3 linked regions of the Diceros bicornis minor genome follow. The protein of the gene in region 1 purifies or fractionates together with the protein of each later gene. This does not show direct contact. Links are inferred from orthologs where the notes say so. Each region holds a gene or a part of one and is shown in the gene's direction. Other genes may lie near its edges. The genes, in order: DNAJA1, ENDOG and tubulin alpha-1A chain.

The links.
Region 2: the proteins of DNAJA1 (region 1) and ENDOG purify together in Homo sapiens (affinity purification with mass spectrometry; 3 studies listed by BioGRID and IntAct, counting the BioPlex papers as one, with this or other methods). This does not show direct contact. The link is inferred for Diceros bicornis minor from reciprocal best matches to the Homo sapiens genes DNAJA1 and ENDOG.
Region 3: the proteins of DNAJA1 (region 1) and tubulin alpha-1A chain purify together in Homo sapiens (affinity purification with mass spectrometry; 3 studies listed by BioGRID and IntAct, with this or other methods). This does not show direct contact. The link is inferred for Diceros bicornis minor from reciprocal best matches to the Homo sapiens genes DNAJA1 and TUBA1A.

The regions. Positions count from the first base shown.
Region 1 is NC_080761.1:53,106,182-53,110,317, forward strand, and holds the start of DNAJA1 (dnaJ homolog subfamily A member 1), read left to right. Parts: upstream 1-1,678; 5' UTR 1,679-1,783; intron 1,784-2,896; 5' UTR 2,897-2,899; coding exon 2,900-3,031; intron 3,032-3,183; coding exon 3,184-3,361; intron 3,362-4,136.
Region 2 is NC_080767.1:36,566,425-36,570,560, forward strand, and holds the start of ENDOG (endonuclease G, mitochondrial), read left to right. Parts: upstream 1-1,500; 5' UTR 1,501-1,562; coding exon 1,563-2,072; intron 2,073-3,253; coding exon 3,254-3,363; intron 3,364-4,136. UniProt on the Homo sapiens protein: Endonuclease that preferentially catalyzes the cleavage of double-stranded 5-hydroxymethylcytosine (5hmC)-modified DNA.
Region 3 is NC_080756.1:20,482,673-20,486,808, forward strand, and holds the start of tubulin alpha-1A chain, read left to right. Parts: upstream 1-1,596; 5' UTR 1,597-1,699; coding exon 1,700-1,702; intron 1,703-3,726; coding exon 3,727-3,949; intron 3,950-4,091; coding exon 4,092-4,136. UniProt on the Homo sapiens protein: Tubulin is the major constituent of microtubules, a cylinder consisting of laterally associated linear protofilaments composed of alpha- and beta-tubulin heterodimers.

The DNA.
Region 1 (4,136 bases):
AGGTGAAAAAGTGCCTCTGGGAAACTGCAGATAGTTCGGTGTGACTGGCATGCACCTGTTTTGTTGTTTTGTTTTTTTGCGAGGAAGATCAGCCCTGAGCTAACATCCATGCCAATCCTCCTTTTTTTTTGCTGAGGAAAACCGGCCTTGGGCTAACATCTGTGCCCATCTTCCTGCATCTTATATAGGACACTGCCACAGCACAGCCTGACAAGCGGCACATGGGCAAGTGCCCAGGATCTGAACCCCCGCCGCCAGCAGTGGAGCGTGGGCACTTAACCGCTATGCCACGGGCCGGCCCCTGCATGCACCATTTAAATAAAAGAGAGAAGACTGAATACGCATGGGGACGCCTCCAGGATAAAGTTCAAAAACTGTTTAGCAAGACATACCAAGAGGTGTTCCCCAACTAGCTCTGAACCCACACTCCCTGCCACTCCAGCTCCCTTAGCCCTGGCTATATCCAGTTACTTGCAATTTCCTGGAAACATATTCTTTCACACCTCAGCCGTCCTTTGTACTTGTCTTTTGCTGGGAATGCTCTTCTTTCTTCAAAACTCTGCTCAACCGCCCCTTTCCCAAGGAAGCCTTCCCTGTTCCATCAGATGAATACAGGAGCCTCTCCCCGGCTAACCTGTCTTGTGGTGCCCTTATAGTGCATTGACTTGTCTGGTTCCCCACTGAAATCTAAGCAATGTGAACCCGGCTTTTCCAATTTTGCATCTCCAGATTTCTTGGTGCTAGATACTCCTAGCGGTGGTGTTCAGGGAGGAAGACAGACTCTCTTTTCCATTATACCCCCGTTCCAACATTTGAAAGCCCACAATCACTTTGCAGACCGTAGATCACGGTTCACAGACCTGGGGGGGGGGGGGCTTAAAAGTTAAGTCAGGTAATTGAAACAATTTGTTAGCTACCCTTGGTGGCCACTCTGTGTCCCCGGCTCGCCAAACCGGGGAACGCCCAGCCAGAGCAGTCCATGGCGCTCAGTCTGCTCCAAAGCATGACAACGTCTCCCCGTTCAGCGCTGCCCTGAGCCCAGCGTGCAGGAGCCAGGAGGCCGCGGCAGACAACGTGTCTCGGAGGCTGGACTTGCACAGAGAGCTCTTCCGAGGCCGCGGGCTGCGCGTGAAAACGAACCAGACCCAAGGCCTGCGGGACTGTTCTGTGGCCCAGGACCCTCTTGCTCAGCATTTCCTGCTCGGCGGGTTCCCAGAACCTCAGGGCTAAGGAAGCACGCCGGTGAGAGGCCCCAAGAGGCGAGCGAGGCGCCAGCGGGAAGAGGCGCGGAGGGGCTTTGTCCCGAGATGCCCGCCCCGCACCCAGCGCCCGCCGGGCCGGTGCCCGCGTCCCCCCGTCCCCGCGGGCCCCGGCCGCCGCCTCGCCGGTGTGGGCACCCAGCTGCAGAGCACCGGGGCAGGCCCCGCTCCCGCCCGACACTTCCGCACTCTAGGGCCGACCGGCGGAAAAAAAGGGCTCCAGAAAGTTCCACGAGCGCCGGGAACCCAGGCTAGTGCCCACCCCCACAAGGCCCTTCGGCAAGCCCCTCCCGGCCCGAGCGCCCCCGCGCCGTTGCCGGGCAACCGCGGGGCGGTGGGAGCGCCGGGAAGGGCGGGACTTCCGGTGGGTGACGCGACCGAGCTCGGCTACAAAAGACGACGGCTGCGGCGCGCCGGGGGAACTTTCCAGAACGCCCGGTGTGAGGCGGAGGAGCCGCGACCCGAGCTGCGCACAGCAACGCGCTCCCTCCCGCTCCCCCGCGCCGGCCTCGGCCCGCTCACCGGTGAGTGTCGGCCCCCGCGCGTCCCCTGGCCCCCATGGCGGCGCCGGGAGCCGGAGGGAGCCGCGGCCGGGGGCGGTTGGCTCCGCGTGGGCGGGAGGGTTGTCGGTTCCCGGACCCACGATCTCCTCCTTGGAGGGCTGGTGTAGTGCCCGGCCACCCATCCCCGGCCCGCAGCGAGCGACCCCGAGATTCTCCCGAAGTTTCCCCGCTCCCCATCCAGCTTGAGGTCCCCGCGGACCCGCCGGCGGCGGCTTGCCCGCGCGCGCGCGCCCCCCAGCGACCCTCTGCCCGCGCTCGCCGGGGTGGGCGACTCTCCGCGCACGCGCAGAGGAGCCGAGGGGCGAGGGGCTGCGGGCGGAGCGGGCGGAGGCTGCAGGTTTCGCTTCTCCGCTCTGCCCTCCTTCTCTTTGTTGAGCCCTGGGCTTCGCCTCCCGCCGCTCGATCTCGGGTGGGAGGGAGAAAAGGAAACCTTCACCGTCGGCGCCCGGCGCAGGGGGAAACCTGCCGACGTGTAGAGTGGGCCGGCTCGTGGAGGCAAGGGGGGTTCCGCGGGCGAAGCCGAGGAGCTCTAAGTCCTGTGATTGAGAAACATCCTTGGGGTTGAGGGGGAGGGGAGCCTGCTCTCTGGCGCCGGCGTTCTTAATTAGTTTCAAAACCCCTCCCAGCCCCCTTGTGCCCAGGTGTCTTTTCTTCTCTGGAGGGTATGGTTTATCAGATTTACCGAAGACGAAGATGATGTAATAACCAGTGGACTGAACCTATTAGTGCTCCTTTTGATTACTGCTGCCGCTCACTGCTTGGGGAGGCGAACAGGAAGGGTCCAGATAATAGTCGCGTTAGTGTGGAGGCTTTCATGTGGGAGAGGGGAACCAGCTGCTGTAGAAGGAGGCTCTTGAATTATTCCCTGATAATTATTAGCTTATATTTAGTCTGTTAGAACTCAGGGCTGAATTATCGAAGGGATCGTTACCTTCTCCGTGAACTTTAGGGAAGGCGGTGCTCTTATAATCAGATTTGGCGAAGAACAGATTTCTCTGCTTAACTCTGATTTTACTAATTAAAACTACCAGTTGAAAGTCGGTTAAAATTGCCTTTTCTTGTTTTATGCTGTAGAAAATGGTGAAAGAAACCACATACTATGATGTTTTGGGGGTCAAACCCAATGCTACCCAGGAAGAACTGAAAAAGGCTTACAGAAAACTGGCGTTGAAGTATCACCCTGATAAAAATCCAAACGAAGGCGAGAAGGCAAGTAGCATGCTCATATTAAACATAGCTGGATAGTTCTTTGCCAGGTGTATGGTATTTCTATTACAACCTGAAATTGACTATGTCTAATATAGTGGTTTTGCTTTGTAGTGTTTTTTTTAGTGAAATTTATTCCCTTTTTTCTCAAACAGTTTAAACAGATATCTCAAGCTTATGAAGTGCTGTCTGATGCAAAGAAAAGGGAATTATATGACAAAGGAGGAGAACAAGCCATTAAAGAAGGTGGCGCAGGTGGCGGTTTTGGCTCCCCCATGGACATCTTTGATATGTTTTTTGGAGGAGGAGGAAGGATGCAGAGAGAAAGGAGAGGTAAGAAGAGCCTAGTCCCCCTGCAGCAAATTAAAGAAGCCCTGGGTCAGAGCAAATTCTTGAGAATTCACTTATTTTAAATGCTTATTTATGTGTCGGTATAGTGTTGCAAAGTGACCATAAACTGCCACTTTGATTTACGGTATAGTTTTTTTAAATGAGATTTGATGTAACTAAAAATAGCTAAGCCAATCTAGTGCTAACAAGTGAGTGCTTCTAAAGCTCTCAGATACAGACGATTTCTGTGAGGTTATCCGGCATTAATTACAGAAACAAAGAATAGGCACATAATTTTTTTTTAAATTTAAAAATTAAAAAAAAATTTAAATTTTTACAAATCTTATTTGACCCCACCCACCTAGTGGGAGGTACTGACAAGAGGGAGTTAAAGTTCAGAAACCTAAAGTTTCCTCCAGGTTGGATGTAGCAAGGCAGCAGTTGAGTCAGGGTTGGAGCACAGGTTCTTTGCCAGCAAGTAGCCCGCTGTCCCTTGAATCTTGCTTTGGCTTTCTTGTATCAGAGTATGTGTCCTAACATTTAACAGAAGTGTGGTTTCTGAGCTGTGGAAATATTCTTCATAGGAGTACAGTGTTGGGGTCAGAGAGTTAGTCTCACTTTGTTCCCAGTAGGGTTTATACAAACAAACAAACAAGGGCTGATGGGTAGAGCCCATTTCAGAAGGAATAGGCAAGCCATTAAATTTCACTTGGAACTGTTTCAGATTGAGATAAGACTGGAAATTGTTTATTCAGTGCTCCTTGAAAGGGGTATGTTT
Region 2 (4,136 bases), on another chromosome or scaffold:
TCCCCAGAGTGCCGGAGTGCCTGAGGCTTCCCTCTTGGAAAGCTGCCCGCAGGACTTTGGACACTTACAGATTGGGCTGTCTGAATTCAGCAGGTCTCACTCCAGAGGGTCAGAATGTTTGCTTCTGTTTGTTCATCAGTTTTGTTCTTGAGTCGATGCTGTTGATGACAAGTTGTCTTTAATAAATCATGTGTTCTTTGCAATGGGCTTTGGTGCTGTGATGGGCTGAAACCTTTGAACCTCAGAGCAGGGAGAAAAAAGTTTGAGCAGGCATGGAGTCAGGAGGCTCTTAGATGGTCTAAGAAAAAGGCCAGGAAGTTCTTGTTGGAAGAGCCTGTTCAGCTCTTCTCATTCACCCACTGCAGTCTGCACCTGGAAGGAGGAGGGAGTGTGGACTGGGGAAGAAGGCATCGCATACATGGTTATACAGCAAGTTATATTTTAGATTGAAAATTCAAAGACATGTCAATAAAACAAGTCACTCATATCCCACAATCTGGAGAAAATCACTGAGAACATGTTAGTCTTTTCTTCGCAGATGTAATTTTTATTACATCATTGTCATTTTCTTGATATATATAGTTTTGTGTATTGTCTCCCCATCACATTTGGTGATGAGCAAGTTGTTGCATGATTTTAAAATACTTTTATGGGCTATATACTGTTCTATCTAATATGCTAAAAATGTCTGGATCTAGTCCCTATTTCTGAATATTTTGCTTATTTCCCAGCCTCTATCGTAAGTAATACTGTGGGGAAGACTCGTGTTTGAAATCCTCGCATTCTCAGTTTATTTCCCCAGCTCAGTCCCCTAGGTGGGATGAAAGGTATGAGCCTTTTTAAGGCTTTTCATATACACTGCCAGGCTGCTTTCTGGTATCAGTTTCTGTTCCAACCAGCAGTGAGCATCGGCCACCTGCATCGTTGCCCTCACGCTGGGTGTTAAAATCTTTGCCAGTCTCCTAGAATTGTTGCCTTATGGTGTGATGGTTAGGAGGATAGACTCGCGTCAGACAGACCTGGGGTCTTGTCCTTGTTCTGCCATCGAGGAGCTCCCTCTCGGGCCTCTTGAGGATTAAATCAAGTAGTCATGGAAGCGCTTTAGACCGGTGCTTCACGTGTCCTTGGCGCTCTTTAAGTTAGAGCTCTTTGCACAGGCGCGGAGGAGGAGGGGCCCTCGGTGGAGACCCGAGAGGGGGCGGGGCGGGGCGGAGCCGGGCCTGGCGGTGGCCAATCACGAGCCTAGACGGCGGTGTCCTGCCCTCCCCCCCTCAGGTCCGCTTCTTAAAAGGGCAAAGAAAGGGCGCCGTGCCGTCCACTCCGAGCCGGTCCCGACGGCGTCTGTTGGAGTCCCAAGTACTTCGGAGCGTCAGTTAGTAGAGGGGACGGACATCCCACCCTCCCACGCCCCGACCCGGCACTTTCCCGGCTGTGGGCCCTGCAGGCCGGCGCGGCCCCTTTAAGAGCCTCGCGGGTCGGACGCCCGAAGTCGGGGCGTTCGGTCGGCGCCGCGGGTCGCCCTGCCTCACCCTCCACCCGCGCTGCGGCCCTGCTCCCCGGCCATGCAGGCGCTGCGGGCCGGGCTGATCCTGGCGCTGGGCGCGGGGCTGGGCGCGGCCGCCGAGAGCTGGCGGCGGCGGCGGCGGGCGGACGCGCGGGCGGCACCGGGGCTGCTGGGCCGGCTGCCCGTGCTCCCCGTGGCGGCGGCGGCCGACCTGCCCGCCCTGCCCGGGGGCCCGGCGGGCGGCGGCCCCGGCGAGCTGGCCAAGTACGGGCTGCCCGGGGTGGCGCAGCTCAAGAGCCGCGAGTCGTACGTGCTGTGCTACGACCCGCGCACCCGCGGCGCGCTCTGGGTGGTCGAGCAGCTGCGGCCCGAGCGGCTCCGCGGCGACGGCGACCGCCGCTCGTGCGACTTCCGCGAGGACGACTCGGTGCACGCGTACCACCGCGCCACCAACGCCGACTACCGCGGCAGCGGCTTCGACCGCGGCCACCTCGCCGCCGCCGCCAACCACTGCTGGAGCCAGAAGGCCATGGACGACACCTTCTACCTGAGCAATGTCGCGCCACAGGTAGCGCCGCGCCCCGGCCGGCGGCGGAGAGCGGGGCCAGCGCCTCCCTCTCTGAGTCTCGGTTTGCCCCTCTGCAGGATGGGGAAGCTGCCTGGTGCGCGCTCGCGGTCATCACCCCGCGCGCCCGAGGCGGGAGGGACGGAGCGCTGGGGCGCGAGCACCTGCTCTGCAGGCTGACCTTAACACAGGGCCCCTGGGCGCCTCCCTAAGCCTCAGTTTCCTTGTCTGTAAAATGGGGATAAACTGTTATTCACCTATCTCCTGCAGTAGCGCGGAGGAACTGAAGACACAATGCATATAAAAGTACTGAGCACACTTCCTGGCCCATGGCAAGCATTCAATAAATGTTAGCTATAATGAGAGAACTGAGACTCAGGCAGAGTGACTGGCCTAGTGTCACACAGCAAGAGGAGACGCAGGGAGTCTGTCTAGGGGACCCTGAACTTTCAGCCACTGTCCTCCCCTGCCTGCCTGCCTTCCAGGAGTAAAAGGAAAGTTACTTGGCACGCAGTCAGTCGGCTGTTAGTAGCAGTCACTGTGCCCCCTGGACAAGCCACCCTACCTCTAGCCCTGTTCGAAGCAGGGCCTGGCACCCAGTGGGTGGAGACTGATGTGGGGCTCTGGGGGAAGCCCGTGGGGTCTGAGCCTCTGCACCTGACTTCTGTGCTCCCAGCAGCACAGTCCCCCACACATTTAACTCGACACCATACTGAGGACTGGAGAGCCCAAGTGATGGAGTCCAGCAGATTCACTATGTTCCCAGCTGTGCTCTGCACGCGGTTGATTGGGAAAAGGAAAGGACAGATGGTTGGGTGAGCTGGCCTTCCCATGAGCCCCTGGGGGCAGGGGCGGGCCTCAGTTTCTCTCTTTGAAAGGAGATGTGTCCCTTTCCTTCGTATGGCTCTATGGACCTGAGAAATGGCTTTGAAACCTGGGGTGCTAGTCCTCTCATGCTAGATGGGGGTGAGCTAGCTCCCCCTTGAGCTCTATCTGGACTCTACCCTCATGGCCAGGTGGCCTGGAGCGACTCTCCTTTCCTTTAACCTGTTCCCTCTGTTACCCCCCCCCCCCACCAATCTCCTGGCTTGGTGCCAGTGCCCGCCCCTCAGGGCCTGGGGCAGCCCCTCTGACAGAGAGGAAAGGTCCCAGCCACAGGCCCTGAGCCCCACTTCTCCCACCAGGTGCCCCACCTCAACCAGAACGCCTGGAACAACCTGGAGAAGTACAGCCGAAGCCTGACCCGTGCCTACCAAAACGTCTATGTCTGTACGGGGCCGCTCTTCCTGCCCAGGTAAGACTACAACTGGGGGCCCTGGGGACGATAGGGCCTCCCTCACCAGAGGCCCCCTCCTGCCACTCACCCTGCCCAGGCTTACCCCAGGCTTGGTGCCAGCACCACCAGGTCACCACTCCATCTTCCTGACCCTGAGCCTTCACGCTTGTTCCTCTGCAGCCCTGTCTGCCGGTAGAAGGGACTGAGCGCCCCCTGGCATGCTCAATGGTTTTTCTGGCCCGCTGAAGACGGGCATGAGGGAGGCAGTGGGTTGTGGCACAGCAGCTGGCTCCCAGTCCACAGGCCTGGGATGGAGCCCAGGCCCCGTCGCCTAGTCTCAGTACTGTGCGCAAATGACCTCACGTCCTCTCCTCTAACATTGGGAAAATGCCAGTTACCTACCTCCTAGCTATTAGGGGACAGAGTAGGAAGGTGGATGTCACCCTAGTAAGGGCTCAGTATGGGCTGGCTGAGGCGGTGGCTGGGGCACTGATAACCCTGAATTAGCAAGTGCCTCCTATGGCCTGCTGAGATGGAGCAGACTCTGCTGGGGGAAGCCCGGAAGTCCCCCTCCAGTGTTCAGGCACCACTGTGCATCAGGCCCCCTGTGCTGGGGCTGGGAATTCAGCTGTCCCAGCCTTGCCCCCCTGGTGCTCACCCTCCACGGGGAGACACAGTGGTCACGTGTGCGGGACAAATGGGAATCTTGAGAAGGCCTGATTCCTTCAGCAGCATTTATTGCCCCCAGCCACCCTGCTTCACCCAGTGCTGGGCATGAGGAAGACAGGGTG
Region 3 (4,136 bases), on another chromosome or scaffold:
ATGTAAAGTAGAGCTACGGATAGCAGGCTAGAAAAATCCATGGCCGCCATTGTCACACCACAACCTGCAGCAGCTGTCTCCTCAAGTCCCTCCCTCCCACACCCTGCTCTGCCTGCCAGCCCAGCAGGAATGAATGGGCTCTACAGAGCACAGTAAATGGTGCTGCAGACCCTGAAAATCTGTTGCTGAAAACTGAAAGAAAAATTATCTGCCAAAATACAAATTTTCAATTTTGGTAGCCATAAGAAACCTCTTTACCTCTGAAATTTCATTAGCAACGTCAGGTGGTACCCAGTCCAGAGTCTGATTCTGTATAGCCCATCCTTGTTGATAATGGAGCCTTTCTAAATAGCAAAAGAATGTTACTGCAATCCATTTCCTAGGGGTGAAAGCAAAGCCTTTTTGACCCAAGAGGCAGTTGAGCAACCACCAGAGTCTCTAGTTGAATAGCAACCATGTGAGGCTGGCAACAATTCCCAGTTTGAAGCTCAATCTCAGAGGAGGAGATTTACCAAATACACACAAGCACCACATAAAAAAGAAATGCAGTTATTGAGCTGACATCACACAGTTGTCTGTGGAAGGAGGCAACATTACAAAATGGTCTTCTTTTTACATTATACAACTCTCCTCCCTTTTAATTTGGTGTCTCAGTTATTTTTCTCTTTCCAGAAAAGAGAATGATGCAGAATATAACTGCATAACTGCACAGGTAGCACTAACTTCTGAACTCAATTCTTCCTCCCTGTATTTTCTCAATTGTATATCAGGAAAGACGATTCACTTTAAGGAACAATACACTACATAAAATATATTACATAGACTTCTGGTAAAGGAATATTTCTAGTAGACTATGATACGTTCATTAGATCTTAACTATTGCCATGTTAAAACTACTTGTGTGCTTCCATATTTAGTACTGTTATTCATTCCATCTTCCATTTTTGTTTAGCCATTTGCGGGAGGGGTGCAGAAGAAGGTCTGAAAATAAATCACTTGAACTTGAGAAACCATTTTGTACGGCTCTATTATTGAACTGTTTTTAAATTAAAAAAAAAAAATCACATTTACCCAAGCCATTTTAAGCATCATTCCCATCTTCTCTCCTACTTTATTTTAAAGCAACTAGAGATGTTGAATCCTCACCAAATGTAGTCGAGTTTAGTATACTTTGAGGGAGGGGCTGGGAGTAATTTTCCGTTAAATATTTCATCTCAACACAAATTCTACTATCCAGTGATGGGAAAAACCTTACACTGGTGATTTTAACTGGAGTTTGAGGTTTAAGCAATATAAAATCATCCAACCCCAGTTCTCTTTCTTTCCTTTTCCCCCCCTCCCCAACCCCACCCCATAATGGATGCTCGGCTGACTGTTTTTGCACGGTCTCTTTGTCTGGAGGATGCAAACAGTCTATGGATGCTAGGGAAAAAGGGGTGGGGGAGAGATTACCTCATCCCATGTCGCTTGCACCAATCACCTCTCTCCCGTCGTGGCTTCTCTGGGCAGATTGAGGGGTCTGGACCAACAGGAAAAGGCCCCAGCCCATCCCCATGGTGACCGAGTTGTATATAGGGAGCCGCATCCACCCATGTGCCGCAGGTTCTCTTACATCGACCGCCTAAGAGTCGCGCTGTAAGAAGCAACAACCTCTCCTCTTCCTCTTCGCCATCTGCTCAGCAGCCGCAAAGCAGCAACCATGGTAAGAATCTCTTTTCTCGGCTTTTTGTGGCCGTTGGGTGGGGTCAATCTCCCAGGATCTACTTGGAAAATCTTAAGCCCTTTTTTCTTTACAACTCCTTTGAGTAACGGTAGCTTATGCTTTGTTAGCGAGGTTTAGCTTTGCCCCAAATCCTTGAACCCGGCGGCCGCCGCAGTGCAGGGTGCAGGAGCCCAGCCAGAACTGCGCCCAGGGCGCAGGAGACCCGTGGGGAAGAACAAAGGCGGCGCACAGGGAGTTTTTGTTATCCGAGCCCTTCGGTACCGCAGGCAGCCCCTCTGTCGGTGACGAAAGGGTCTGTGGCAGGGAATGGCGATCGTGGCGTCGCCTGCTCGGCTCCCGTGTATGTGCGTACGGTATTCGTGTGACGCAGAGGGTCTCTTTTCTTCCTCGCGTTGTTCCCCAGAGGCAGGGAGAGGAGTCGTCGTCCAAAAAGACCAGGGGTCGGTGGGTGTGGCGGGGAGAGAAGGACAGGGACAAAGCGGAGCCTTGGGTTAGTATAAAAAGGTCCCTCCGCGACTCGTTGGTATTTTAGAAAGATACCCGTATATTAACCGGGCAAAATGGTTAGTTTTTGTTGGAGCCGCTGGCTGCCGGCGTCGGGGCGGCGCCGGGGCGGAGTTGTTTGTTTCTGGCTGCTTCTGCCTTGGAGCCACTGGGCGGGGTTCGCCCTCGCTAAACCTTCTCTGTCAAAAGACTTTTAATAAAAGCCTTTCATCGTTGTGGAACTGTAGGCGTTAAAAGGTTTATCATTCCTTGTTAAAACTTAGAGGAAATATTTTTTCTTGAGGAGCAAAATCACAGTTCACTTGACAAGCCCTTTAAAGTCTGGTCTGGGGCCGCCCCGCCCTGACTGACTCGAGTCTGTGTGTGTGTCTGTCTTGGCCGCACGTCCAGCAAGGGAGAAAGCCCACTTTGTGAGGTAGGGTACCCTAATGCTCAGGACCCAGGGAAACGCCCTCCCCAATATATCAGACAATGGATAGACAATGGAGGTTGTAGCCATAAAGACTGTAGAGAAGAAAATCTCTATTGAATGTGATGAGTATGAATATTCTGTGGTGGGAAGAGAATCTCAGAATGAAAATACTATTTTGTTATTTTAAATAAGTATTCCATTATCCTTTCACTGGGCTTTTATTCTTTGGTAGCTTCTCATGTGATACTTGTTTCTAATTTAGGAACTTGTTTTAAAGATACTAATTTTCAGTTTTTTGCAGTGGAGAAGATTCTGGAAAAACTTTTTTTTAAAGTAATGAAATTGCCGCAAAGAAGAATTATACTTTGTGTCCAGCTGTTTTTTGTTCTAGTGCATCTTCCTTAATTCATTTCAATTTAGGCATATGGTCCCAGCCTGGGTCAGAGGAGGAAAACTGGCAGAATAGCAGAATGAGATCATGTAGGCAGTTTCTGGAAATAGAGCTTGCTCTGTTAAATAATGTAGCAGACAGTACAGGCTAGCACCAGGCACAGCAAATACAGCAATGCAGCAATGCAGAGGCAGACCTTGTTTAGCTTCCAATCCGCTGGTACTGATGGATTCTGCAGATAGACTGCAGAAGGGTGTGGCTTCTAACATCAGCTGCAGTACAGATGTCCATGTTGAAATACCAAGTCATATTCAGAAGAAACTCTCATCTTTATTTAAAGGGGAAGGAGGTAGTAATATTGATTCCAATTGATTAATGGTCGAATTTAATTTACTTCATTTTACAAAATCTGTGCTTCGAATATTTTAAATATGAAAAAAATCTTCTAGTCAAGCATGGCTGTGGGAACAATGGACTTGTACCACGTGCTAAACAGTGCAACATTATTCAGATCACACCCATCTGCAGCATTTGTAGCAGGTGCTTCTCCTTAATCATTTCTATTGTGTTAGGGATATGACCTCAAATAAATTTGAAGAATACCTGTATATTACTAGAAATATTTTTAGAAATTTACTGAAAATTCAAAATTCTAACACAACCCAATTTTACAATTTTTCTCTTTCCTTCCCACAGCGTGAGTGCATCTCCATCCACGTTGGCCAGGCTGGTGTCCAGATCGGCAATGCCTGCTGGGAGCTCTACTGCCTGGAACACGGCATCCAGCCCGATGGCCAGATGCCAAGTGACAAGACCATTGGGGGAGGAGATGACTCCTTCAACACCTTCTTCAGTGAGACGGGTGCTGGCAAGCATGTGCCCAGGGCAGTGTTTGTAGACCTGGAACCCACAGTCATTGGTGAGTTGACCACACTAACCTGAGTGAGATCCCAGGGGTCTGGGACAGGAGGTCTGTCCTGGGGGCTCCGCTGATGCCCTGGGGTTGAGCAGGCTTGTGCAGGTGGTTAGTGATGGGTGGCTGCTTTGTCTTCCTTTTCCAGATGAGGTTCGCACTGGCACCTACCGCCAGCTCTTCCACCCTGAGC